3 linked regions of the Drosophila melanogaster genome follow. The protein of the gene in region 3 interacts with the protein of the main gene of each other region in a pairwise test. Each region holds a gene or a part of one and is shown on either strand. Other genes may lie near its edges.

What was found. Proteins that work in one complex are often made in the same cells at the same time.
Region 1: the proteins of CG3176 (region 3) and CG6380 interact in a two-hybrid assay, tested with the Drosophila melanogaster proteins (one large-scale study listed by BioGRID).
Region 2: the proteins of CG3176 (region 3) and tomb interact in a two-hybrid assay, tested with the Drosophila melanogaster proteins (one large-scale study listed by BioGRID).

Annotation. Positions count from the first base shown.
Region 1 is NT_033779.5:17,288,221-17,296,186, reverse strand, and holds CG6380 (uncharacterized protein), read left to right. Parts: upstream 1-3,984; 5' UTR 3,985-4,078; coding exon 4,079-4,960; 3' UTR 4,961-5,112; downstream 5,113-7,966.
Region 2 is NT_033779.5:5,533,007-5,540,615, reverse strand, and holds tomb (tombola), read left to right. Parts: upstream 1-3,857; 5' UTR 3,858-3,889; coding exon 3,890-4,058; intron 4,059-4,120; coding exon 4,121-4,683; 3' UTR 4,684-4,755; downstream 4,756-7,609. Other genes in the region: Hel25E (helicase at 25E), read left to right, coding at 316-447, 507-909, 972-985; CG14015 (uncharacterized protein), read left to right, coding at 1,506-1,859, 1,933-2,528, 2,587-2,815, 2,884-3,156; Cap-D3 (chromosome associated protein D3), read right to left, coding at 4,859-5,251, 5,313-5,566, 5,630-6,813, 6,874-7,037, 7,094-7,609.
Region 3 is NC_004354.4:478,196-486,584, reverse strand, and holds CG3176 (uncharacterized protein), read right to left. Parts: upstream 4,648-8,389; 5' UTR 4,588-4,647; intron 4,468-4,587; 5' UTR 4,454-4,467; coding exon 4,152-4,453; coding exon of another isoform or gene 4,148-4,151; exon of another isoform or gene 4,068-4,147; coding exon 4,004-4,067; 3' UTR 3,817-4,003; downstream 1-3,816. Other genes in the region: CG18273 (uncharacterized protein), read left to right, coding at 1-1,557, 1,620-2,275, 2,339-2,701, 2,757-3,317, 3,540-3,701; CG32817 (uncharacterized protein), read right to left, coding at 6,492-6,555, 6,640-6,941.

The DNA.
Region 1 (7,966 bases), on a different chromosome or scaffold from region 3:
AGTCAGCAAGGTAACGTATATGGATTCTGAGTAACTTTATTCGCTGCACTCACAAACTATTTAAAGATAACGTCAATTAAACTTTTTTTGGCTGCAGCTAATTAATATACTTTTTTCAATATAGTTCATTGATCATTAGCTCATCAAATGCTGTTGGTTCCCATGACGTTGTTTACACCATTTTAATTGAATTTCAGTTCAGCTTAACCATGTAAAAAAACAACTATTTTGGTAAGCTTATCAATGTTGTCAAAACCAAATCAAATTAGCACACGGGAGATACTAAGTCCACTACGTATGTTACATGAGATAGGAAATAATCAGTTTGTTTTTTTTCAATAATATTTCCTATTTCAATTACCAATATCATAATGCAAACAAGAAAGAAGCTGAAGAGTCAAACTTTTAACGAAAGCATATTTTGTGCAACAAAAACCTTATGCACTTTTGAATTTTTCTCATTGTTCCGAAAAGAAAATTTCATTTGCGTCAATGAAGACTGTAGCCGAATTCAACTTTGGCCCCTTTCAATGGAAGTCAAATTGAATCCCAAACTAACTCGATAGCCAAATGGAAAACACTCTCTCCGATGTGTAGAGTATAATAATCAGGCTAACACACTAAAAGGGGAGAAGAACGGGTTTGGGGAGGATTTCGGTATAGAGATGCCAACTTTATTTAACTGTTTGCCAAGCTGTCAAGCTCTAGCTAACTGCCAGCACACACATACACACACACACTTGCAGGCAGGCAAACACAACGGTATTGCAGGTGATCCTGGTATTGGTTTGGTTTTGGCTGTGAGTTCTTTGGAGGGTGGTGCAGTGGGTGGAGCAGTGGGTGGTGGCTCAAAAGGGAAACGCGGTACATTTGCGCTCAACGTGTTTGCCTTTTGGAACGTTTCACGCTTCGATTGCAACGCAGGCAAAGGCAGTAAGTGGGATCGGAAGGGGGTAGAGGGTGAACTCATTTTAATCTTACTGCAAAAATTATGTGTAGACTTTAACGACTATCTGGTTCCTCACAACCAACTGCGGGGACTAAGCTGTTAGGCATTGTTAAAGATTATCTATAATATATATATATATATATATATGTGGTTTGTGGTTTTAAGAGAATGTAAATAATAATTCATTCGTAGGCAATGCTAAATTTAAGATATTATACATTTACCAATTTGTTATTTTCACAAGTTGTGTATACCTTGCATTCCACAATTGTACAGGTCCAAAGACCCAAACTGCAAAACCAACATTCAAGCGTACACTGAGTGGGAGAAAAAGAGATAGGCACTGGGCTGTGTGTGTGGAAATGCAAAAATTAAATTTTAAATATTTATAAAGTACAGCCTGTTGGGGGGAGTGTGGGGGATAGAGACCGAAATGAATAAAGAGGGAGGGGTGGTAGGCCAATAAAAGGAATTTGCAATTGGTCTGATTGGCTTTTAATCGCAGCAGACAGTTTTTAATAAATATGCATAACCGTTTGCGCTTCCAATTGGAATACAGTGGTAGATCTCATCGATGGACACGTAAAGGATCCTGTCATTAATAAAAGCGATGTGAGAATGCGGGAAGGGATTAGGTGGAATCTTCCAAAAGACCTGAGAGTAAACATAATTATTAATGGCTTGTAAATTTGGAATAGCTCAAAAATATGTGGAAAGTTTAAAAGTAGTCCAAATAAATAATATTTCTTTTCACGCAATCAAGGTCTGCAATAACCTTTGCATTCAATAACCTTCAAATGCATTCAAATTTGATTTACTGATGCAACAAATATGTTTATAAATTTTACTTATAGTGTCAAAACATTTATATTTTAAGTACCGTGTAATTTCTCAATCCAAGATTGACTGTACAGTTGAGGAAAAAAGACAAAGACGGCTAGCCTTTTCATAGTTCACTGTATGCCGAATGTGTGGGGCGTTTCGATGCAACTTCTTGCGGAAACGGATGTTGCATTGCATAGCGGAAGACGAGAGCCGAAAGAGTCGAGGAAAATTTATGATTTTGCCATAAAATCCTGTTGATATGTGGATGCAAGGAAGGCTCCTTGCCCACGTTCGATTTTCTCACCTCACAGCTGTTATTTATGCGCATATGTATGCGGCGCGTTGCACGTAGAATTTGCACAGACAGAGCCTCGGATACGGATACTCAGATACTCGGATACACACACATATACGCAGACACTCGAACACAGATACACAGTTGCGGATACGCAATGCACACATCCTGCCGGCACTGCACATTGTTGCGATTGATGCACATAAGAAATGCAATCGGGGCAACTGCAATTTCGTAAATCGAAGGAAAAATTTCCTAGCCGCATCAACATCGCATTTCGTCTCCGACAGAGAGGCAATCAAACATGGCAGGAAAACTGCAGCTGAAAAACAGTTGTTGACTGTTTGCCGGCATCGCCTATATCTCCATCATCATGATGTTGATGATCATCATCATCTTCACCTCGCAACAGGACACAACATCGCAACGTCATCATCGCGTGGAGGAACAAGTGAAGGAGGACATATCCTCGTCATCGTCACTTTTATGCTGCTGTTTTGTCGCATCCACTGTGCTTATAAGCATCCGCTCGTCACATGCGTGCAAGCGTATCGGGGATCTACACAGCGAGAAAACGGATTTAGCTTATAATTTTTAGTAATATACATTTTGAATAATATATACCTAATTAGTCATTCCATCAGATAAACGGAAACTGATAATATTGTCTCTCCCCTTAAAATATATTAATATTAATATAAAAATATTAAAGGCATCGTGCTTTAATATTTTTACGCATTTTTTCTCGCGGTGTCTGGGCTCGTATCTGAACGTACTCCGGCAAAGGCTTGTTTATTTGCTGGCAAAATTGTGAAATAATGTGCTGCAATCAATTCCCAATACAGCGCTCCGTGACCTCTAGCCCCTCTTCACATGCGGCACTCCCTCACTTTTCCCTTTGGAAAAGCGGGAGAAAGCGGGAAAAACGGTGTGCAGTGAAGTTATTTGAAGTGGCAGCTGCCACAGAGCGAACTGCAACTGCCACAACTGCATTGGTTGCCCCACGCCTCTTATCATCACTTGATTTACCGCCCCCACTTCCCCCATTTTCCACGTTTTCGTCCGTATCGGAGGTAACATGTTTGTGATGAATATGTTTACATCAATAACAAAAACTCCACTATGGCGCATCAATAATGAAGCCTTGCTCTGACTCCGCTTTACAAAACCCCCTATCATTCCATCCAACGGGCGGCAAAACCCCATTTTGAACACGTCAAAATGAGTTTACTTTGTGGTTTCGATGGCTGCGATTGGAAACTGCTCCCGCGGATTATGAAGTATCTCGATTGGAGTACCGAATACATTCATCCACACACAAACACATCGAGTTCTTGACATCCTCAACACAAAAACAACAGTAGCAATGGCAACAGGGATTACTTCGAGATTGCAGCAGGAAAACCACTTGATATTTTGAAAGTGAATCCGTCCACAGTCTGATCGGAGATTTGGTATTATCCGAGATTAGGGGTTGGGTATTTGCTCGATACGGAGACAAGGACTTAATTTATAATTAATAAACATGTTTGGCTTAATTTACCAGAGAATAATGATGGAGTAACAATGAATTTGAAACTCCACTAAGCAGCATTTAAACAACATACGTAAACATACAAATTTAATATGTATGGTAACAATAAATAAAGTAATTTTAAAATCGAATATAAGAAGATAATATGTGACTTGAAGCAGGCATACCTTCTACTACATAATTAGATCCCAATTTAAAATGTTAAACAGAGTAATTTGAGTGCAGAGTTCATAGAGAGATTTATGATAATAAATTAAAAATAAAATAAAAAATTGTACGCGAATGTAATGAAGTTATACAATAATCTTCCAAGAAAAGGAGCCCACGATTTTTATATATTTTTTGACGATGACAATGTATTTTATCAGTTAAATATTATAAGCCATATAGGGCACACACAAGTTTACACTAATACATTTTAGTTCGGTAATTAGTTCCTTTCAAAGGCCAAAACTACACATAGCTACAAACAAGAATGGATGGGGACCAAGTAAAGGGCATCCTGAAGTCGGGAAACAATAGTGCGCAATTTAGCCTGAAGGCAGCCAAATTTGATGAGGTCAACATACTGGCCACGTTCCACCCGGCTGGTAAGGACTACGGCCACATGATCATCGACGAACCAAAGACACCCTTCGTCTTTGAGGAGGATTTGCCAAAGGAGTTGGATACAAATGCCCTGATCGAAAAGTTGAGACACACATCAAAGTCAGAAATGCCGGCATTTGGCATCGAAGGAGACTCAGAAGAATCCTCGGCGGATGAGGACTTTCCCGAGTCTGTAGAGGAAAAAGTGCGTAGAATGGAGTTTGAGAGGCGGCGAAAAGTGCATTACAAGGAGTTCTATTCGGTTCCACTGGCTCGACGTCTTATAGCCGACGAGTTTGCCGAGTTGACCAGTTCAGAGTTTAATATTCACTGCGAAGGGGGAATGGAATCTTGTGAAGCGTGCAGTGAAAACAATCAACTCGACGGCGAAGCAAGCAACTTGACGCAAACAAAATACTCATATTCTGAAAGTCAATCCGAATACAGGATATCAGATCATTCTGAGCCTGAACCAGGTTTCTCCCCCAGCCATCACTGCTACCAAAAACTGAAGGCCGAGCTCTTTAGCAAAGCAGAGCCGGAAGAATTGGCCTCTTTAACGCACTTGCATCGAATGCCATCGGTCAACGATGATGAACCAAGTCGCGAGCCTCGCGTCCCATACCCTTCGGTTGTTCCGACTCAAACCCAAAATCTACATGAACACAAGAGTTCACTGAAAATAACGTCCGAGAAGCCTACTCCTGCTCGTATATGTAAATCCAACCCTGATAATCGTCCTGGCACTTCTAAGAAAGAGACCCGCTGAAATCATTCAGTAGTGTTAAAAATTGCAAAGTTATATTAAAGAAACTTGTAATTATAACAAACCATTGGGGATTAAAACTTGTGTATGCATTTGACAGAAAGTATCTATTACACTACATCTATCTACACTCTTTTGTAGAAGAAGCTTTTAACAAATGTTGCCTAATGGTTTTTACTCAAGGATAAATATCTTTAATTACTCAATCACAAAAATTGTGTCCAATAACTTTCGGTCATTCCACTCCTGTTCGTGCCTCGTCTAAGTTGCTAAGGAAATTATAGGAAAATTCTAAGTACCACTGGCCAGGCTAATTGCTGAGATGTTGATATGATTAACCCACTAACCTTCATTTGCTCCCCATCTATTAATACTTTGCTTCCGAAAGTTCACTGGTCTGGGGAATATTTAATTACGCAATGTCCTAACGGTAATCATCATTCGGCCGAAGCTAGATACAAGGATACACAGCCAGAGTTTAACTTATTTTGGCATTTTGTTTTGTGATTGAAAATTCCTTTTGACAGTCTAGGCAACCGAAGAGTTTTCCTTCCGGCCAATCGCTTTCATTCTGATTTCATGCTCTGGCCATTCCAATTGTGAAGAAAACTGATTTCTGCCCTTTAAGATAATTCCTCGGATATTACAACTGCAGAATCACTTGAAATAATTATGCAAAATGTTTAATTTAGCCATTAAATGCCGTAGCAGTTCAGTTTTATTATTATTAAGCTTCGGTCAATTCGCTTGCAAATGAAAGGACAACACAAAACCGGATGGTGGTTGGGGGAAGTGTCATGAATATTTATGGGGCCATGTTATCATTGAATAGATTTCAATTAGATTTATTTGCAAATACTTTCGGAGAAGAAAATGAGTAAAGGCAAATACGTTAAGTAACGTTGATCTTGTAAATAAAACTTAAACGTTAAGGTCAAGCATTTTATTTAGAGATGTTTGGTCTTAGCACAGATTAGGCATTTCTCTGTCAATATGTAAACTATGGCTGTACAATTGTATTGTACCATTTGAGAACTTATTTCAATATTGACAATTTATTAAATGCATTTACCATTAAGGAAAGCGCCCATTATTTTCCCACCTTCAGCGAAGCTTTCCATTTGCAAGACATTTAATTGTTGATCCTTAACTCAAGGCTTTTAAGTGGATTTAAACCGAAAAACACTTAAATTGGACAAACAACATGGATGGCTTAACCCGTTGGCAGCATCGTTAGCCCCGTGAAGCCATTTAATGCGAACTTGCCATTTGGTCAGAAGTGATGTCCGAAGTGAAATTTAAGTTGGCTGCAATTGATGGTCGCAGCATCTCTGTCTCCGTCCGTTTTTCCATCTTCTCCGGACTCTCCAGTCCGGTTCTTCTTGGCATCTCCGTCTCCGGCTTGGTCTCCGTAACAATTGCCGTGTACATTTCATTAAGTGCATAAGCCCGTCCGGCTGTCAGCTCTCCTTCGCTCCCTTTCTTCTCTATCTTTCCTCCTTTCGACCACTTTCTCCTTCCTTGCCACTTCTGGCTGTTCCGTTCGTGTGGAGCGTTTTTAAGCCGGAAAATTATTTTTAATGCTATTTACACTCACAAATGAAAATGCAAGCGCAAATAAAGGCCGCCAGCAGTCACGAACTGGCCAACAACTTAACTGGCATAAATGCTGGTGGCCAAGAAAAAAGGAATATACATACATATATATTTTGCAAGTTGGCTGGCAGATGAAGCTATATAAGCGACAAGATTCCCTAACAATTTTACAATACAACTTAATCAAATTTTTGGAATATTTTACTGTACAAATTCTAACCATACACGTAAATGATTACATTTTAGAGATTAGGTCCTTTTAAGTTCAGTTAAAAGCAGTGATCTTAAGATGAATCGTATTTATTTTACATATAATAATACAAATTTAACGTAAAGAATCATTTTTGAAATCATTTCACTTAACCGAAACTATTCAACCCACGAAGCTACAGGGCATTAAAAAAAACACTGAAACTGGTTGAAAAGTGAGGCCAAGAAAAAGGAGCTGCTTTAAAGCAGCTGCCCACTTTACAGACAGACCTCGACCTGAACGCGTGTCGCTAAAAAAGTTCGGCTAAATATTTGCGAAAGCATTTTCGCTATTTGCGATGGCATTTCGTGTGGCATGCGGCATCTCCGCTGCGCTCCTTTCTCCATTCCGTACACAATCCTCATTCCGTCATCTCACGTTGCAAGTGCAGCACGCAAGAAAATCCCAGGGGGATGGGCTTTTTTGCCAGGGAAAATGGGGATTGAGCTGCACTTGCTTCGCTGGGGCATCAATTTTCATTTTGATAAATTATAAAATGGCCCATCGCTGGCACCCAGAGCACCAAGCACTGAACACCGAGCACATCCTCGGCCGAGGAATAAATGGATTGCCTGGCGATGGCCAACGTTAACCCATGGCAGCAGCCTTGAAAATTGAATGCCAATGGATTTTCGAGAGGAGACAACAAAGCAGCTTAGATGGCTAAATGAATGGGGTATATACTGTAAGGAGGGGTTCTGGTTGCCACTTTATTGATGCATCAATCATCGTAGCTCATAGCTGTTTAAAACCACTTTTGCTGCGGTTTATTGAATTAATGGATGGCCTGACTTCTTAAGCTTTAAGGCAAATTGGGCCTTGTTATTATGACTGAAACTATGCATTATTATAATATTTATTTTCTTATTTAGATACTTACACTGCTATAAGAACGATTTAAAAACATCAACGGGTTAAAAGCCAGCAGAAAGTGGTCCGGATTTTTTTTTTTAGATACGGCGTATCATCATTAGGAGCTGGATTTTGGCTCTCCCTTTAGTTTTCTTTTCTCCCTGTCTCTGTCATGTAAATATAGTGTTGCAAATGTGGCCAGCAAGTGACACTGTTTAATTGATTGCCTCTCAAATTTTCTCTTTTTCCACCAAACTAGCTGGAAAAGCTAATAAAGATTTATGTAGTTTTAAATTTGTTGTTTTTTTTTT
Region 2 (7,609 bases), on a different chromosome or scaffold from region 3:
CAATACCTAAATAAAACTACAAGCAAACAGCAAAGATCCCGCCGACTGGCCGATGAGACGAGTTGAATCAATCCAGAGCGAATGCGATGCGATAGGCCCGCTCATCTGTAATCCGCACACTTCTCAGAGCGATCATCGATCCTCGGGAGCAGTTCAGAGACTAGTTGATGAGATGTGGTGGTAGCGTGGCCGTATGTAGAATATTCTATGCATATTGTTGTATGTTCCGAGGCGAGCCTAGTCTAAGTTCGATTTCTCTGTACCCCTCCTAATTGTGTCCTTTAAAATGCGCCACATTCTATTTCCCAAATCCAGCCCATGGAGGTCTACGTCGACGATGAGGCCAAGCTGACGCTGCACGGACTGCAGCAGCACTACGTCAATCTGAAGGAGAACGAGAAGAACAAGAAACTGTTCGAACTGCTCGACGTGCTCGAGTTCAATCAGGTAGGTCATTCGGTGGTCTTAACTTATATTTACCACTTACTTGATTATCCCTGTCATAGGTGGTCATCTTTGTGAAGTCTGTGCAACGTTGCGTGGCTCTGTCGCAGCTGCTGACGGAGCAGAACTTCCCCGCCATCGGCATCCATCGTGGGATGACCCAGGAGGAGCGTCTGAATCGCTACCAGCAGTTCAAGGACTTCCAGAAGCGCATTCTGGTGGCCACCAATCTCTTTGGCCGCGGCATGGACATCGAGCGTGTGAACATCGTGTTCAACTACGACATGCCCGAGGATTCCGACACCTACTTGCATCGCGTGGCCCGTGCCGGTCGCTTCGGCACCAAGGGACTGGCAATCACATTCGTTTCGGACGAGAACGACGCCAAGATACTTAACGAAGTACAGGATCGTTTCGATGTGAACATCAGTGAGCTGCCCGAGGAAATCGATCTCTCTACATACAGTAAGTTGCAATGATGAGTAATCCCCAGCCACCAGCAGTGCTAACTTGATTTTCTTTTCCAGTTGAGGGACGCTAGAGCTCGAAGGTGCATGTTAATCGGAACAAGACTATGCACTTCGAATAGATACAAACCTAAAACCTTTTTTAAAACTCTACTTTATAACTAAATAAAAACTATTCAGACAATGTGTTGACAAACAAAAACGGAATTATAAGTAATGTATTTATTTTGGGAATGGATTCTAAAACCCACTTGTTTCACATTTCCGTTTAAACTATTTTATTTGTGAAAATTTCTGGGGCATATTCCCTTAAATAACTTAGCAATATTAATGTGTACAATATTATAAATCAACTCACAATAAAATGTCCAAAAAAAATAACAAACTCGCATATGCTTTAATGGTGAAATGGTAATTGGGAACTCGCTGGGCATAGTTTAGTGTGTCCGTTTCAGGACATGCGCAATGGCCAGGAACTTCCGGCAGCTGCATTGCGACAGGAAGAGAAGGGGTTGTGGGGTGGAGGTACGAAAAACTGGGGACGAAAAACAACGAGGACGTCCAAACAATGAGAGAAAATGCACGCTTGCGAAAATGCTGCTAAAAAAGTATGTGAAAACGCGGCGTAAGCTGAAGATTCTACTCCTGCTGGCCATCGTCGCCCTGCTGGTCATCACCATCATAGTGCTGGGCTCCAGCGGACGCAATGCGGCCATCGAACTGCTGCTGGACGAGCGATTCATCGCACGCGCCTACAGGCCCGGGGATCAGCCCCAAGTGGCGGAGAAGCCGCCGCCGGTGGCCGTCGCGCTGCTCCAGCCGCAGCGGGAGAACGGAGTGATTGTGCCCGAGAAGTATGACGAGCAGAAGATCAAGGAGCGCATCATTCAGAGCAAAATCGATCTGATGAAGCAGCAGCAGCAGCGGGACCACGAGGCGGAGCAGTCTGTAAGTTTCCAGTTCAGTCCAAGAAGGTGGCCAATCTTAGTCCTTAAATCTTAAAAATGTACACTTTGTTCAGTCGCGTACCACTTTGGATGTGGTGATCAGTGCAGTGCACATATTCTACACTGCCCCGGTGCCGTGGTACAAGTCGAAGAAGCCGCCTCCGCCGCCAGCGGAGCACCCAAACGATGTGCCACTGACCACGCCGCGACCAGTGCGAATCCTAAACACCGCCTTCTATCCGGCACTGGGTCTGTACAAGCCCAGTGGCTCGCTGCTGGCCCAGCATTTCGAGAACATACGCAGCTGTGGCATCGGTGTGCTCATCCTGAGCTTCTCCGGTGGCAAGCCCGCGGAGGCGGCACTGCTGCATCAGATCTTGGAACTGGCACCGCAGCACAATCTTAGCGTTACCTTTGAGCTCAGTGTGGCCGGGAATCAGAGCGTGGAGTTTGTGCGCCAGCAGCTGCAGGAGATTGCCACATACACCAGCCTAGCTGGATTCTACAAGGTGTGGAGTCAGTCGAGAGGTGTCTCCCTGCCGGTTCTCTACGTGAGCAATGCCTACAAGTTGAGTGATAGTCTGGGAAGGCTGTTGTGTCGATCGCCTTCGCTGGTGGAACCGGATGGTCTGCGGAGAATTCTGGATGCCTTATTCATTGGACACATAAGGTGGGGTGCGCCTTAGATTATCCTAGGTGATTCTATATATCCTTTCGTTTCTCTCCAGGCTCAAAAGCCATGCCGATGTCCTGCGGAGGTTGTGCTTCGATGGCTTCTACAGCAAACTGCCCAGCAATGGAGCTGTCTTCGCCAGCACTTGGAAGAACTGGTCGTATCTGAAGTCATTTGCGCTGTCCTACAAGATGCTCTTTGTGCCCACGGTGGGTCCGGGATTCGCGGAGAGGAACAAGTTTCCGCGACACGGAGACATCCAGCGGCATCGCAGCAATGGACGGGTGAAGGAGCAGCCATCAACTGGAGTGCCAGAACAGGCTACTAATACTAATATCATTTGATCTTGCAGTACTATGGCGTGGCCTGGCGGACAGCCATTCTCAACCACGTGGGCTTCATCAACATAGCCAGCTACAACAACTGGCCGGATGGCAGCCAGATCGAGGAGGTGATGCCACGCGCCGGCTTCCTCGACTACAATCCGGGCTCGAGAACGAAATATCTGGATCTCACGGCCCATTGGGTGGGCAACTTTCTGAAGACGCGACAGGAGGCGGCGGCAGCAGCCTCGCCAGCATCGCCGCCCAACTGTTACGAGCTGCTCAATGGAACCATATGCTAGGAGCGCACCAAGTGGGACTAGTTAGGAGCGCAGCGGAGATAATCCTAGTTACTTTAGAAGCAATAGCAACGATTGCAGGCCACTCAATTACTTTCCAACTGTTAAGAAGTCTTCTGCTGCACACATTTACACACTGCATAAATATATCGTTTTGATAGTGATATTTTTGAAAACGCGCGCCCAAATGTCGAGTTTTTTGGCGGGAAATGCAACGCACTTCATTCCAATTACATAAGTAATTTAAGTACTAAACGCCAATCAAAAAAAGAGAATTTTGAGAAGAGGTTTGAGTTGGTTTCGCTGCCAAATCACTCGACACAGAATATATATGAAAGGAAAGCAATTACAATTGATATCAATTAATAATGTAACTCTTTTTATTACATCTATAATATAAAATAGCTTTCAATTATCGTAGACTAAACGAGTAGAGGAGAACAATATCATAACTTAATGCCATGCCATATTATGTAGACACCAAAGGAAATTATCTATGTTATAACGATATAAACTAGACACTTGTTAAACGATTGGTACTTAACAAATTTTAACTTTATTACCAGTACGACATATAAATACTTTATCTAAGCTTTAATAGTTTAGTGCCCACAATATTGCTGTTTTATTTATACATATATATTTTTATATGTATAAGGGTTGCCATCCTTTCAACACTGATTTTTTTTGTTGGAGCTGTCATCAGTTCGTTTCTGGAAGAGATTAAGGCAGCAACATGCCATCGCCCAAGAAAAGAAGTGTGGATAAAGCGGATGGCAAGAAGGGCAAGGGTCAAGGAGCAGGCGGCGTGAAGGGATGCTGCTGCAAGCGGTCGCAGTGCATCAAGAACTACTGCGACTGCTATCAGTCCATGGCCATCTGCACCAAGTTCTGTCGATGCGTTGGTATGATTTCATTTCTATAAGCATAAATATACCCTACGGCACTCATATACCCTGTAATGCAGGCTGCAGGAACACAGAGGTGCGCGAGTTGGTGGACCCCAACTCCGTGGCCAAGAATTCCAGCGCTGTGAAAAGGCAGAAGGCGGCTGCGATGAGCGCCAAGGCAGCAGCCGCAGCTGCCAAGGCGGGCATCGATGTCCAGGGCAAGGCGCTCCAGGTGGCGGCATCCACTTTGGCGTTGCCCGGCAAGGCGCTAATGACGCCGCCAAAGTATACCCTAGTGGCTGGCAAACCACCGATGGCTAGTAGTCACATTAACCCCATACCCATCTCACGACCCATAGCGACTGCCGCCACTCCAGCCAGGGCAGTGAAGCAACCGGCGGAACCTCCGATGCCCGTCAATCTGATCATTCCGGTGCGGCACGACGATCGCAGGGATCGGAATCTCTTCGTGCAGCCGGTGAACGCGGCTCTGCTGGAGTGCATGCTCATCCAGGCCACGGAAGCCGAACAGTTGGGCCTGAACGAGCTCCAAGTGTGCCAGCTGGTGCTCGAAGAGTTTATGCGCGGCTACAAGAACATTTTGGAGAAAATATGCGAGTACAGCAAGGATTATTATTAACTCAAAACGTCAAAATGGCTTATTAAATAGTTTCAAGGTCAAGAATAACTTGATTCCATTTTTGGCTTATAGATACATACATATGTACATTTTATAATGCAAAATAATACAATATTCGATTTGTGTAAAACTAAATAATTGAGAAATTCAGTTTGCAAGGTCGCAAAAATTGAAACTACCAATCGGGTGGCTGGAAAATCAGCTCGGTGACAAGCATATCGCAGCTGGTTTTCCTTTGGGACAAACGGGAGGCAGTCGGCGTGGTCTTGTGCCTGTCCAGCGGCAGCTCACTGTCACTGTCGCTCTCCGACTCGTGCTCCTCATGGGACTCGACTTCGCCCTCCTCCATACGTCGTCGCTTGCTTCTGCTCGCTCTGGGAGCTTTCGCCGATGATCGAAACTGCCGCCAAAATTGCGCGGGCTGGGCGAACTCAATGTAGTTGGGGAATCTCATGGCCATCGCTCGGCAAAAGGATTCAAAGTTGTGACTAAGCTCGGGACTCATGACGGGCACTATGTTGCGATGGGTTTCTTCCACAAAGCGAAGACAGCGTTCCAGTTGCTTGAGCTGCAAAGGAATTTGAACATTTAGCTCAAGGGGGAAAAGTTAATCAGTTAGATTTACATACTGGCTCCTCGGACATGTCCGCCTTTCGCCCTCTTCCTCTGCTTGTTGCCTCGCCTGCTTCTGGTCTAGTTGGTGGAGTTGCTGGCTCCGATGACGCATCTTCACCTTCATCGATATTGTCGCCCTCGCCACGAGAGTTCTTCTCTTTACCCATTCCCTTGGTGCAATAGCAAATGCGGCGCATGATGAAGAGCATATCCTGAACCACAATCAGGGCGTCGGGATTGTTGATGAATGCTTGGTCTCTGGTCTTTTCTACAAGAAGTATATATATCTTAGCATATCTACTTGAAGTATGTATAAAACAACTTTACTCACCTGCCAGCAGTTTTAGTTGGCCGAAGTAAAGCAACAGCACGTTCTCGTCCATCGAGGACATTATGTGATTGTAGAGCAACCTACGTTTCTTGGCCATTTGTGAACCCTTCAGAGGTGACTTGTAGTTGCCATTCGTTCTCACGCCCCTCAAAATAGCCTGGTCATTCAGATCGAAGGGGCACTCCTTCAGGCAGTGATCGAATAACATTTTGTTGTACAACTTTTTGTAGCGAGTGAAGAAGGCATCCGCCTCCCTGGCCACCTCGGCACTTTCGTCCACCAGGGCAGCCAGCATGGATATGAGAATTGGACCCTTGAGCTTAATATTCCCGGACAGAATCACATCCTTGACGCAGCGAAAGGTGCGCACCCGGGTCATGGCGAATTTCGATTGTAGTTTCGACAAGATCGCCTGAAAGTTACTCTCTAGAATTGATGGATGCTTCTTGCCGAGATCGTTGAGCGCTATTAAAGTGGTATTGATGATCTGAGGTCTGTCGTTTTTCGTCAGTATGGTTATGTACAGCTTGGATGCACTATTGGCCAGATGATTATCTCGCAATGACAAACGACCGGCTATCACAATCATCCAGTTGGTCATGCGCTCGTTATCCGAATCGAATTCCGATTCACAGAGCTTGGTACACTCCTGCAGATATTTAAACACAATGCTCACGATCCTATTGTCCACATCCTGGGGCACCATCACAATTAGCTCGGTATAGGCGCCCAGCAAGCACTGCAGCCGGGCATATTCCTCCTGAAAATTTTGAGCACTGCTCAGAATGCCCTCGACGAGATCTTCCAGCAAACTGAGCTGCCAGTATGGCATCTCGGAGGCAATCGTAGGTGACTGGCTGGTAGAAAGGTGATGGATCTGGTTGAGCAAATTGACGGCACTCGAGATGATGCCCAACCAAATGCTGCCCGTGCGCAGGGCATTTAGTAGTTTTTGGAATAGCTGATTGAGTGCCGGCTTGGAGAAGTTCCTCAGGCAGCCAGTGATCAGCTGCAGCGCCAGAAATTGATTGGACTTCATGTTGTAGGAGGAGAGGCCATTGAAAATGCCAATCAGCGCGTCCATGTTGTTGGTGATGCGACTGGACAGGAATAGCAGCAATCCCCAGGCATCGGTAGCCATGGACGTGGATAGGTGGGAGATAATCACATTCACCAGTCTGGGTCTGCAAACATCAAAGGAGACTCTTATAATCCTTGAGATTCTTAGCAATGATATAACCTACGTTACTATGGTTTCCCGTTCCAGTAAAACAGCGAATCTCTCTTGAAGATAAGCTCTTGGTTGAGTCATCAGCAGGGTGCTGATGATTCGCCAGGGCATAAAGTGTTTCGCTTCGTTTGAATACTCCAGGGGCTGAATGTTTTTCAAGACCATTCTATCGAAGCTCTGCAAGCAAGTTACAAAGTTTAGTATATTAATAAACTTTCAAAGTGTTTACCTACCGAAATGGCCAGTTTCTGGAGCGCCACATCCTCATCGCTCATTAGGCAAGCCCAAATCCGGCAGTACACACAAATCAGGGCGAAACAATTGGAGTAGGCCTCCAGCAGGGTTTCTATGGTCTCCAGTGCAGATTTCCTCACCGAAGACAAGCGATCCACGGCCAGCAAGGAGGTTTCCTTCACAAAATTCGTGTTATAGATGATCAGGGGATTGACTAGGACCAGTCTTTCGAGTAGAGCTATGCCAGCGGAACGCGCCAAACCATTATCCGCGGCCAGAAAACGCTGGTACACCGTTTGGGGCAAGTTCTTCACCTCCGTCTCCAGTTGCTCATGTCCCTGGAAACTAAAGGCATACTGCACAATTCCGGGCTTCTCGAAACGCAGCTCGTTTTGCTGGGCAGAGGGTTCAGCCAAAGCTTCCACATCAGTATCATCGAACTGAACGAAACGAATGCTTTCCTGCAGAATTTTTTTCGTCATCGGGGATCCTTGTCTCAGCGCCAGGATGAGCAC
Region 3 (8,389 bases):
GTAAATACAATGTATCCCTGCAGTTTAAATTGGAAAATCTATCGATCACCGCGTTTGCCTATGTTTCTGATCAGCTGCTGCGTTTGGTGCGCGAGTACAAGAAGTCCAACTTAAAAGAGGTTTTAATACTTCTCTGTTCTGCGTTGCGGTATAATCCTCTCCTGCTGGAGCAGAGTGTTTACCAGATAACCGTTTGGATGCTCACGACTCCCAAGGAGAATGCCCAAGTGGAGGAGCTGTATTCGGAGTACCTTATTCTACTGCTGGACATGTTTCGCCGTCTTAGTCGCGCAGAGCGGTTCATCATCAATCTCCTCAAGGTCCTAGGAGCATGGTTGGGAAAGTACACTTTGGATGTTCCCCCTAATGAAGCTAAGAAGCGACGCATCCAGGACTCTAAAATTATTGAAGCTGAAGGCCATCAGTTGGAGGAGCGCTTTCTAGGCATAATTTTTAATAGAACCCCTTTAGCCACAGCTCCTTCGGCCAATGACGCTTTCAAGCAGCTGTGCCAAACGTGGCCAAGCCACTCAGCCGGTGTGGCTTTCACTCGTTTAATTAGCAACCTGATGAGCAAACCATCTCTGGTGATTTGGAAAAGTCTGTTGCATTCCTTCGCGGAGCTGCTTGAGGAGGATCAGCCGAAAGAAGTGCTGCCCGAAAACCTGGACTTTGCTCGGGAACTGCATGCTGCGCTCCTTTGCCAATACTTAAACGGCACTCGACTGGCTGAGCAAGTGCAACTTTATCAGCTGCAAGTGGAGCAACAACTACAGCACACTTGCCAGGTCCTGGAGCAGTTCGGACGGCTTTTACTACGCCAAGAGCACAACCGCCGGCTTATGAATGCCTTTCTGGAGTGCACTGAGAGAGCCAGCGGTTTTGAGCTTCTATTGGCGTACTACTGGCCAGATGGTTTCCCCGCCAGCCAGCGGCCAGTCCAGCTGAGGGGTTTCCTGCCCACCGCCGAGTGGACGTTGATCCAGCAAAGGGTGTACAACTTTGGCAAGAACTGCTGCCGGCTGAGATTGCAGCGTTTGGAGCTGCAGCTTGTTGAGAGTGGTTGGTTGCTGAAGGATCAAAGGGGAGCCAATTGTTCGGATGCCCTGGCTGAGTTAGTCCCACCGTATCAACTCTTTCGGCTTTCCAGACCACAGAAGCAGCTCCGTTTGCATCAAAGGAAACATAATCAAAGCTTGGAACCCCATCTAAATGATTCGGAGAGCATTGAGATCCTTACATTGCAGCTGCTTAAGGAATATGGAGCAGAGGCCAAAGAAGCGAAGGCCAAGGGGTCACTATTGGTGAAACTGAAACTGGAAGAGCAGGTGGAGGAGAACTCGCTGACACAATTCCTAAGGGATAACGCGTCGGTGGAAATTGACTTGCATTTGCCCCCAGCCCAGGTACTGGTCAAGACTCTGCAGGGCCTTCCATTGGCTCAGTTGCCCCGTAACATTCGATCGCGCCTTTGGCTGGTGATCTTTGTTCTATACAGGGATCTCAGTCTTAGCCATCAGGAGGAGAACGCCAATCAGATTCTGGAGCTACTAATAGGTAAATAATTTAATCGAATTTATACTTCAAACTCATTTGTTGGATAAACTACTTGCTTGCAGATCTTATGCATTTCGGCCATCCGCTTCCCATATGCAGCTACTTCCCGCGGCTAAGCGAACTGCTTTGCCTTATCCCCACCAGCTCGACGGTGGGTTGGAGCTTCTACGAAACACTTTTTGCACGTTGCATTCGCCGACAGGGTGCCGGTAGTGAAGCATTTCTTGCAAGTTGCACGGGCTTTTTTAAGGATCAACTGGCTGCGTTAAACAAATTGCCAGCGGAAGAGCGTCGTCTTTTGCTGCTGGCCATCGAAACACTTAGCAGTGTAACTGGAGCTCAGGGCAGGCGATTGCAAGGCCAGCTACAGCCACTTATTCAGATCTATGGCGAAATGGTGACTCACAAGTTTCGCTCCAAGAAAAAGGAGGCGTCTGCTTATAAGGAGTTCGTGGATAGCACGCTATCAGGTTATGCAACTTACGTGAGCAATTGCATAAATAGCGTAGTCAGGTGGGAGCGGGAAGAGCAGAAGAAGAGAAATGAGTCGGAGAGTTCAGAAAAAACGAAGGCTGAGCCAAAAGTAGACCACAAGAAGAAAAATAGGGATCCAGAGACAGCGAAGATTCAGGAGTTGGAGGACAATGGAAAGCAGAGGCAGCCGAAACTCATAGATGAAAACTTTCGACGTATCTGTAAGATATACATTGGTCACTCGGTGGGTGCTTTTCGTGTTTATAAGTATTGAACAAACCAAACAACAATATTGCTATATTTTTAGTTGAACTATCGCGATGCTAATGCGACACGCTTGCTGAATGTGGCGCTCACCCATCGTCAACGTTTGCATTTGGATCCGGATGAGATAGAGTTCGTGCTAAGCAGCTATTGGAGGCAATTGAATACAGACATTGAGGTGGGCGACACATTTTCCAGTTCAGCACTGGATTGTCTGGAGCCGGCCATTAAGCTGATCATTGGCTATAAGACTAACGAGGATTTCCTACTGCTCCTGCACCGTCTTTCCTCACAAGTGGAGCAAATGGCACGCCCTGCGTCGCAAACGGAGCACACGGCGCTCCAGAATGTGCTAACCCTTTTGGCTCTCTTTGCCAAATGCTCGTTGAGCAGCGTGAAGGGAGCGGTGAGTCTTCTCCAGCACCTTGTCCTCGTTCCATAGTTAATAATGTTCTCTTTAGATGCTTAATGAGCATTTCGAGGTGATCAGTGTGAGTGTTGCACTGCGTCTACCGGAACCCAAAGACTTGGCATATTCTGGTCATGCCCTTCGACTCCTGGAGGCCCAGCGCAATCTGGCTGGGAATCGTACGGTCCCTCTCACAGGAGAGTCCCTGGATTGCCTTCTTAGCAGCATGTTGGATATAGACATCAAGCACTTGATCAGCCACGGCGGCAGTTGGCAACAATTTGTGGATCTGTATAGTGCACTCACAGACAACCTGATTGTGCTGTTAAAACAACACAGTAACCTGATGTCAGACCGAGCAGCCCAGCTCAGTGTCCTTTGCCAGGATCTCATCCAGGCCGTCGTTGGCTATCGGGCGGAAAGAAAGCAGACACAGGACATAAGTGAAACGGAGCTGGATGGTTTGGCGGACTTGGGTCTGAAACTGGCTACTGTAATGGCCACAGTGCGCGCCACGCAGGCACTGGCCGTGAAGAGAGTCGCACCCTTCCTGCTTATCTTCACCATTCGCCAAATGGTAGCAACCGAAAGGCCCACGACGCTGTTCGAAAAGGTGTGTTTTACGTTAAGGGAACGCCATTGGCCAAGTCGAAGTCAAAATTCAAGTTTCGCAGCATTCCGAAGAATAGATCAACGATTTTTGTTTCGTGTTAAGAAGTATATGGTTCTATATTCTTTAAGGAGTAATAATTGCCATTTTTTTATTCTATGCGTCCACGTAGTATATATATTTTTATAGTGGGCTTACTTTGACTAATAATACGATTTTCCCCAGATCAAGGTCCACATAGTGCGCGTGTGCCATGAACTGATCGGTATTTGCGATCACCGTGCCGGACACTTCATCCTACGCTCCAGCAATGAGGCCGGCGCCAGGATGTACGAAGGATTGGTGAAGGATCACGAGAAGTACCACAAATTTAGGGGCAAGGTGTAGGTAGAGACAAGGAACGAGTACACCTGTAAATTTTTTTTTATATTTATATGAAATACCAACTCTTTAAATATAGAAATATAAAAATGATTGAGTTGTCCAAAATTTGTACTGCTTCAGAACTTAAAATTTAACAAGCACTGTGACCTTGCTGAGTGCTTGTTTGTGTGAAGCCGAACATCTGGCAGTACTCGCACAGCGCTAACGAAGAATAGATCAAAGATTTTTGCCTAATGTTAAATACTATATAGCTCTATATTCTTTAAAACGTAATACATTTGACATTTGCTTGATTGTTTGATGCCCTAGCTGAGGAACATCTGGCAGTGCTCGCACAGCGGATCCTCCTCTTCTTCAATTCGATTACCACTGGAAATAAGATGATGGTCGATTGATTTTTAAACTAACGGGTTTCCCTAGGGGGATGCTTCTTCCTTCTGGGACTTAACTCACAATAAAGTCACGCAGTTGCGGCAAATAAACTTGGCGCACTCGCCGCAGGAGTAGCCACACTCCTCGCAGAGATCCATCACGCAGTTGACGCATATGTCGTGGATGAGTGTTGGGAGCTGGCAGCAGCGCGATTTCAGGGGCGGATTCGACAAGTCGATGGAATGGTTGCGCAGAATGATGGAACCATCGCCCAGCAGATAGTACTGCTCGCATAGGGCGGGCTCCTCCTGGCCTGGCCCCAATGGATTCAGGGTATTCTGGCCCTGACCTTGCCCATTGCCGGTTTCGCCATCGAAAAGCATTTTGATTGTCTTCTCTGCAAAATAAATAGCAAAACGGAGATTTCCAGTTCAGGGTTAGACACCTCAAGGACGCCGCTCTTCCATCAGCTTCGATGGAACGTGACATATAACAGCAAAAAAAAAAGAATATTTACTTGATTTGTTTGAGGTCAGCGAGAAGTGCAATCAGAACCCTTAAAATTTCCAAATTGCAATGACAGTAAAATAGTGAGACCGATCGCGGGAAACAAGCTGACTTGACCCCATTCAAAATGCCAAAATCAGTAAATCACAAAATCGATTAATTTGCCAATCGATTCTTACTTGCAATTGCGAATTTCTGAACACTGTAGCAGTTTATTGCCAATCTCTTCGTGGGGTTATCCCCGTAAATTTGTGGTCGCTGCTTTGCTCCATTTTTTGTTCTCGTGTTTAACGGTTTAAACTGAACTCATCTTTGCATTGAGCAACAACAAGCCCGACATAACTGCACTCTGAGCGGCGCTTCCTCTCCGATCTACCACCCGCTCCATTACAGGAAGTAGGAGTAGGTGAGTTGGTGCAAGTGGGACAATGCTTTACATACCAAGGACCCTCTTCATCTTTCGTGGTCCGCGGGGGTCGCCCATTTCTGTTCAAGATTGTCTGCCCATGGTTCTCAGCTCTGAGCTGCTCCAGGATGCCCTGCGGTCCAGCAACAAGCTTCTATTCGAATGCTATGGCAGCCTGATCAGATGCTATCAGGAGTGCGTTGAACTTCGCAAGGATAACAAGGATCGGACTAAGAGCCAAGACTACTGGGATGCAGAGTTTGTAGGTTCTGTGATCAAGCAGCTGGCAGAGATGGTTCGCCGCTCTCAGGAGCCTGAAAAGCTGTTAGAAGAGAACAATTCGAAAACTGTTCGTCCTCTTGTCACTCGGTGGGTGCTTTTCGTGTTTATAAGTATTGAACAAACCAAACAACAATGTTGCTATATTTTTAGTTGAACTATCGCGATGCTAATGCGACACGCTTGCTGAATGTGGCGCTCACCCATCGTCAACGTTTGCATTTGGATCCGGATGAGATAGAGTTCGTGCTAAGCAGCTATTGGAGGCAATTGAATACAGACATTGAGGTGGGCGACACATTTGCCAGTTCAGCACTGGATTGTCTGGAGCCGGCCATTAAGCTGATCCTTGGCTATAAGACTAACGAGGATTTCCTACTGCTCCTGCGCCGTCTCTCCTCACAAGTGGAGTAAGTGGCACGCCCTGCGTCGCAAACGCAGCACATGGCGCTCCAAAATGTGCTAACCCTTTTGGCTCTCTTTGCCAAATGCTCGTTGAGCAGCGTGAAGGGAGCGGTGAGTCTTCCCCAGTACCTTATTCTCGTTCCATAATGTTCTCTTTAGATGCTTAATGACCATTTCAACCGGAACCCAAAGACTTGGCATATTCTGGTCATGCCCTATGACTCCTAGAGGCCCAGCGCAATCTGGCTGGGAATCGTACGGTCCCTCTCACAGGAGAGTCCCTGGATTGCCTTTTTGGCAGCATGTTGGATGTAGACATCAAGCACTTGATCAGCCACGGCGGCAGTTGGCAGCACAGACAACCTGATTGTAACAGCACAACACAGTAACCTGATGTCACCCCGATCAGCCTAGCTCAGTGTCCTGTGGCAGGATCTAATCCAGGCCATCATTAGCTATCGCGCGGAAAGAAAGCTGACACAGGACATAAGTGAAACGGAGGTGGATGGTTTGGCGGACTTGGGTCTGAAACTGGCCACTGTAATGGCCACAGTGCGCGCCACGCAGGCACTGGCCGTGAAAAGTCGCACCCTTCCTGCTTATCTTCACCATTCGCCAAATGGTAGCAACCGAAAGGCCCACGACGCTGTTCGAAAAGGTGTGTTTTACGTTAAGGAAACGCCATTGGCCAACTCAAGGTCATGATTTAAGTTTTCTAGCATTCCAAAGAATAGATCAAAGATTTTTGCTTAATGTTAAATACTATATAGCTCTATATTCTTTAAAACGTAATACATTTGACATTTGCTTGATTGTTTGATGCCCTAGCTGAGGAACATCTGGCAGTGCTCGCACAGCGGAGCCTCCTCTTCTTCAATTCGATTACCACTGGAAATAAGATGATGGTCGATTGATTTTTAAACTAACGGGTTTCCCTAGGGGGATGCTTCTTCCTTCTGGGACTTAACTCACAATAAAGTCACGCAGTTGCGGCAAATAAACTTGGCGCACTCGCCGCAGGAGTAGCCACACTCCTCGCAGAGATCCATCACGCAGTTGACGCATATGTCGTGGATGAGTGTTGGGAGCTGGCAGCAGCGCGATTTCAGGGGCGGATTCGACAAGTCGATGGAATGGTTGCGCAGAATGATGGAACCATCGCCCAGCAGATAGTACTGCTCGCATAGGGCGGGCTCCTCCTGGCCTGGCCCCAATGGATTCAGGGTATTCTGGCCCTGACCGTGCCCATTGCCGGTTGCGCCATCGAAAAGCATTTTGATTGTCTTCTCTGCAAAATAAATAGCAAAACGGAGATTTCCAGTTCAGGGTTAGACACCTCAAGGACGCCGCTCTTCCATCAGCTTCGATGGAACGTGACATATAACAGCAAAAAAAAAAGAATATTTACTTGATTTGTTTGAGGTCAGCGAGAAGTGCAATCAGAACCCTTAAAATTTCCAAATTGCAATGACAGTAAAATAGTGAGACCGATCGCGGGAAACAAGCTGACTTGACCCTATTCAAAATGCCAAAATCAGTAAATCACAAAATCGATTAGTTTCCAATCGATTCTTACTTGCAATTGCGAATTTCTGAACACTGTAGCAGTTTATTGCCAATCTCTTCGTGGGGTTATCCTCGTAAATTTGTGGTCGCTGCTTTGCTCCATTTTTTGTTCTCGTGTTTAACGGTTTAAACTGAACTCATCTTTGCATTGAGCAACAACAAGCCCGACATAACTGCACTCTGAGCGGCGCTGTCTCTCCGATCTCCCACCCGCTCCATTACAGGAAGGAGAGTAGGTGAGTTGGTGCAAGTGGGACAATGCTTTCCATACCAAGGACCCTCTTCATCTTTCGTGGTCTGCGGGGGTCGGCCATTTCTGTTCAAGATTGTCTGCCCATGGTCTCAGCTCTGAGCTACTCCAGGATGCCCTGCGGTCCAGCACCAAGCTTCTATTCGAATGCTTGGCGCGTTGAATTTCGCAAGGATAATAAGGATCGGACTAAGATTCGACGCTCTCAGGGGCCTGAAAAGCTGTAAGAAGAGTACAATTCGCAAACTGTTCGTCCTTTTGTGGGGCTGCATCTGACCTTAAAAACTCCATGCCTAGACGAACTAGGGATAGATGAATGCTTCCGACATATCTGATCATTGTCTTTAAGACTAACGAGGATTTCCTACTGCTCCTGCGCCGTCTTTCCTCACAAGAGGAGCAAATGGCACGCCCTGCGTCGCAAACGCAGCACACGGCGCTCCAGAATGTGCTAACTCTTTTGGCTCTTTGCCAAATGCTCGTTGAGCAGCGTGAAGGGAGCGGTGAGTCTTCCCCAGTACCTTATTCTCCTTCCCTAGTTAATAATGTTCTCTTTAGATCCTTAATGACCATTTCAACCGGAACCCAAAGACTTGGCATATTCTGGTCATGCCCTATGACTCCTAGAGGCCCAGCGCAATCTGGCCGGGAATCGTACGGTCCCTCTCACAGGAGAGTCCCTGGATTGCCTTCTTGGCAGCATGTTGGATGTAGACATCAAGTACTTGATCAGCCACGGCGGCAGTTGGCAGCTATTTGTGGATCTGTATAATGCACTCACAGACAACCTGATTGTGCTGTTAAAAGAACACAGTAACCTGATGTCAGACCGAGCAGCCCAGCCCAGTCTCCTGTGCCAGGATCTCATCCAGGCTATCGGCCGGAAAGAAAGCAGTTACAGGACAT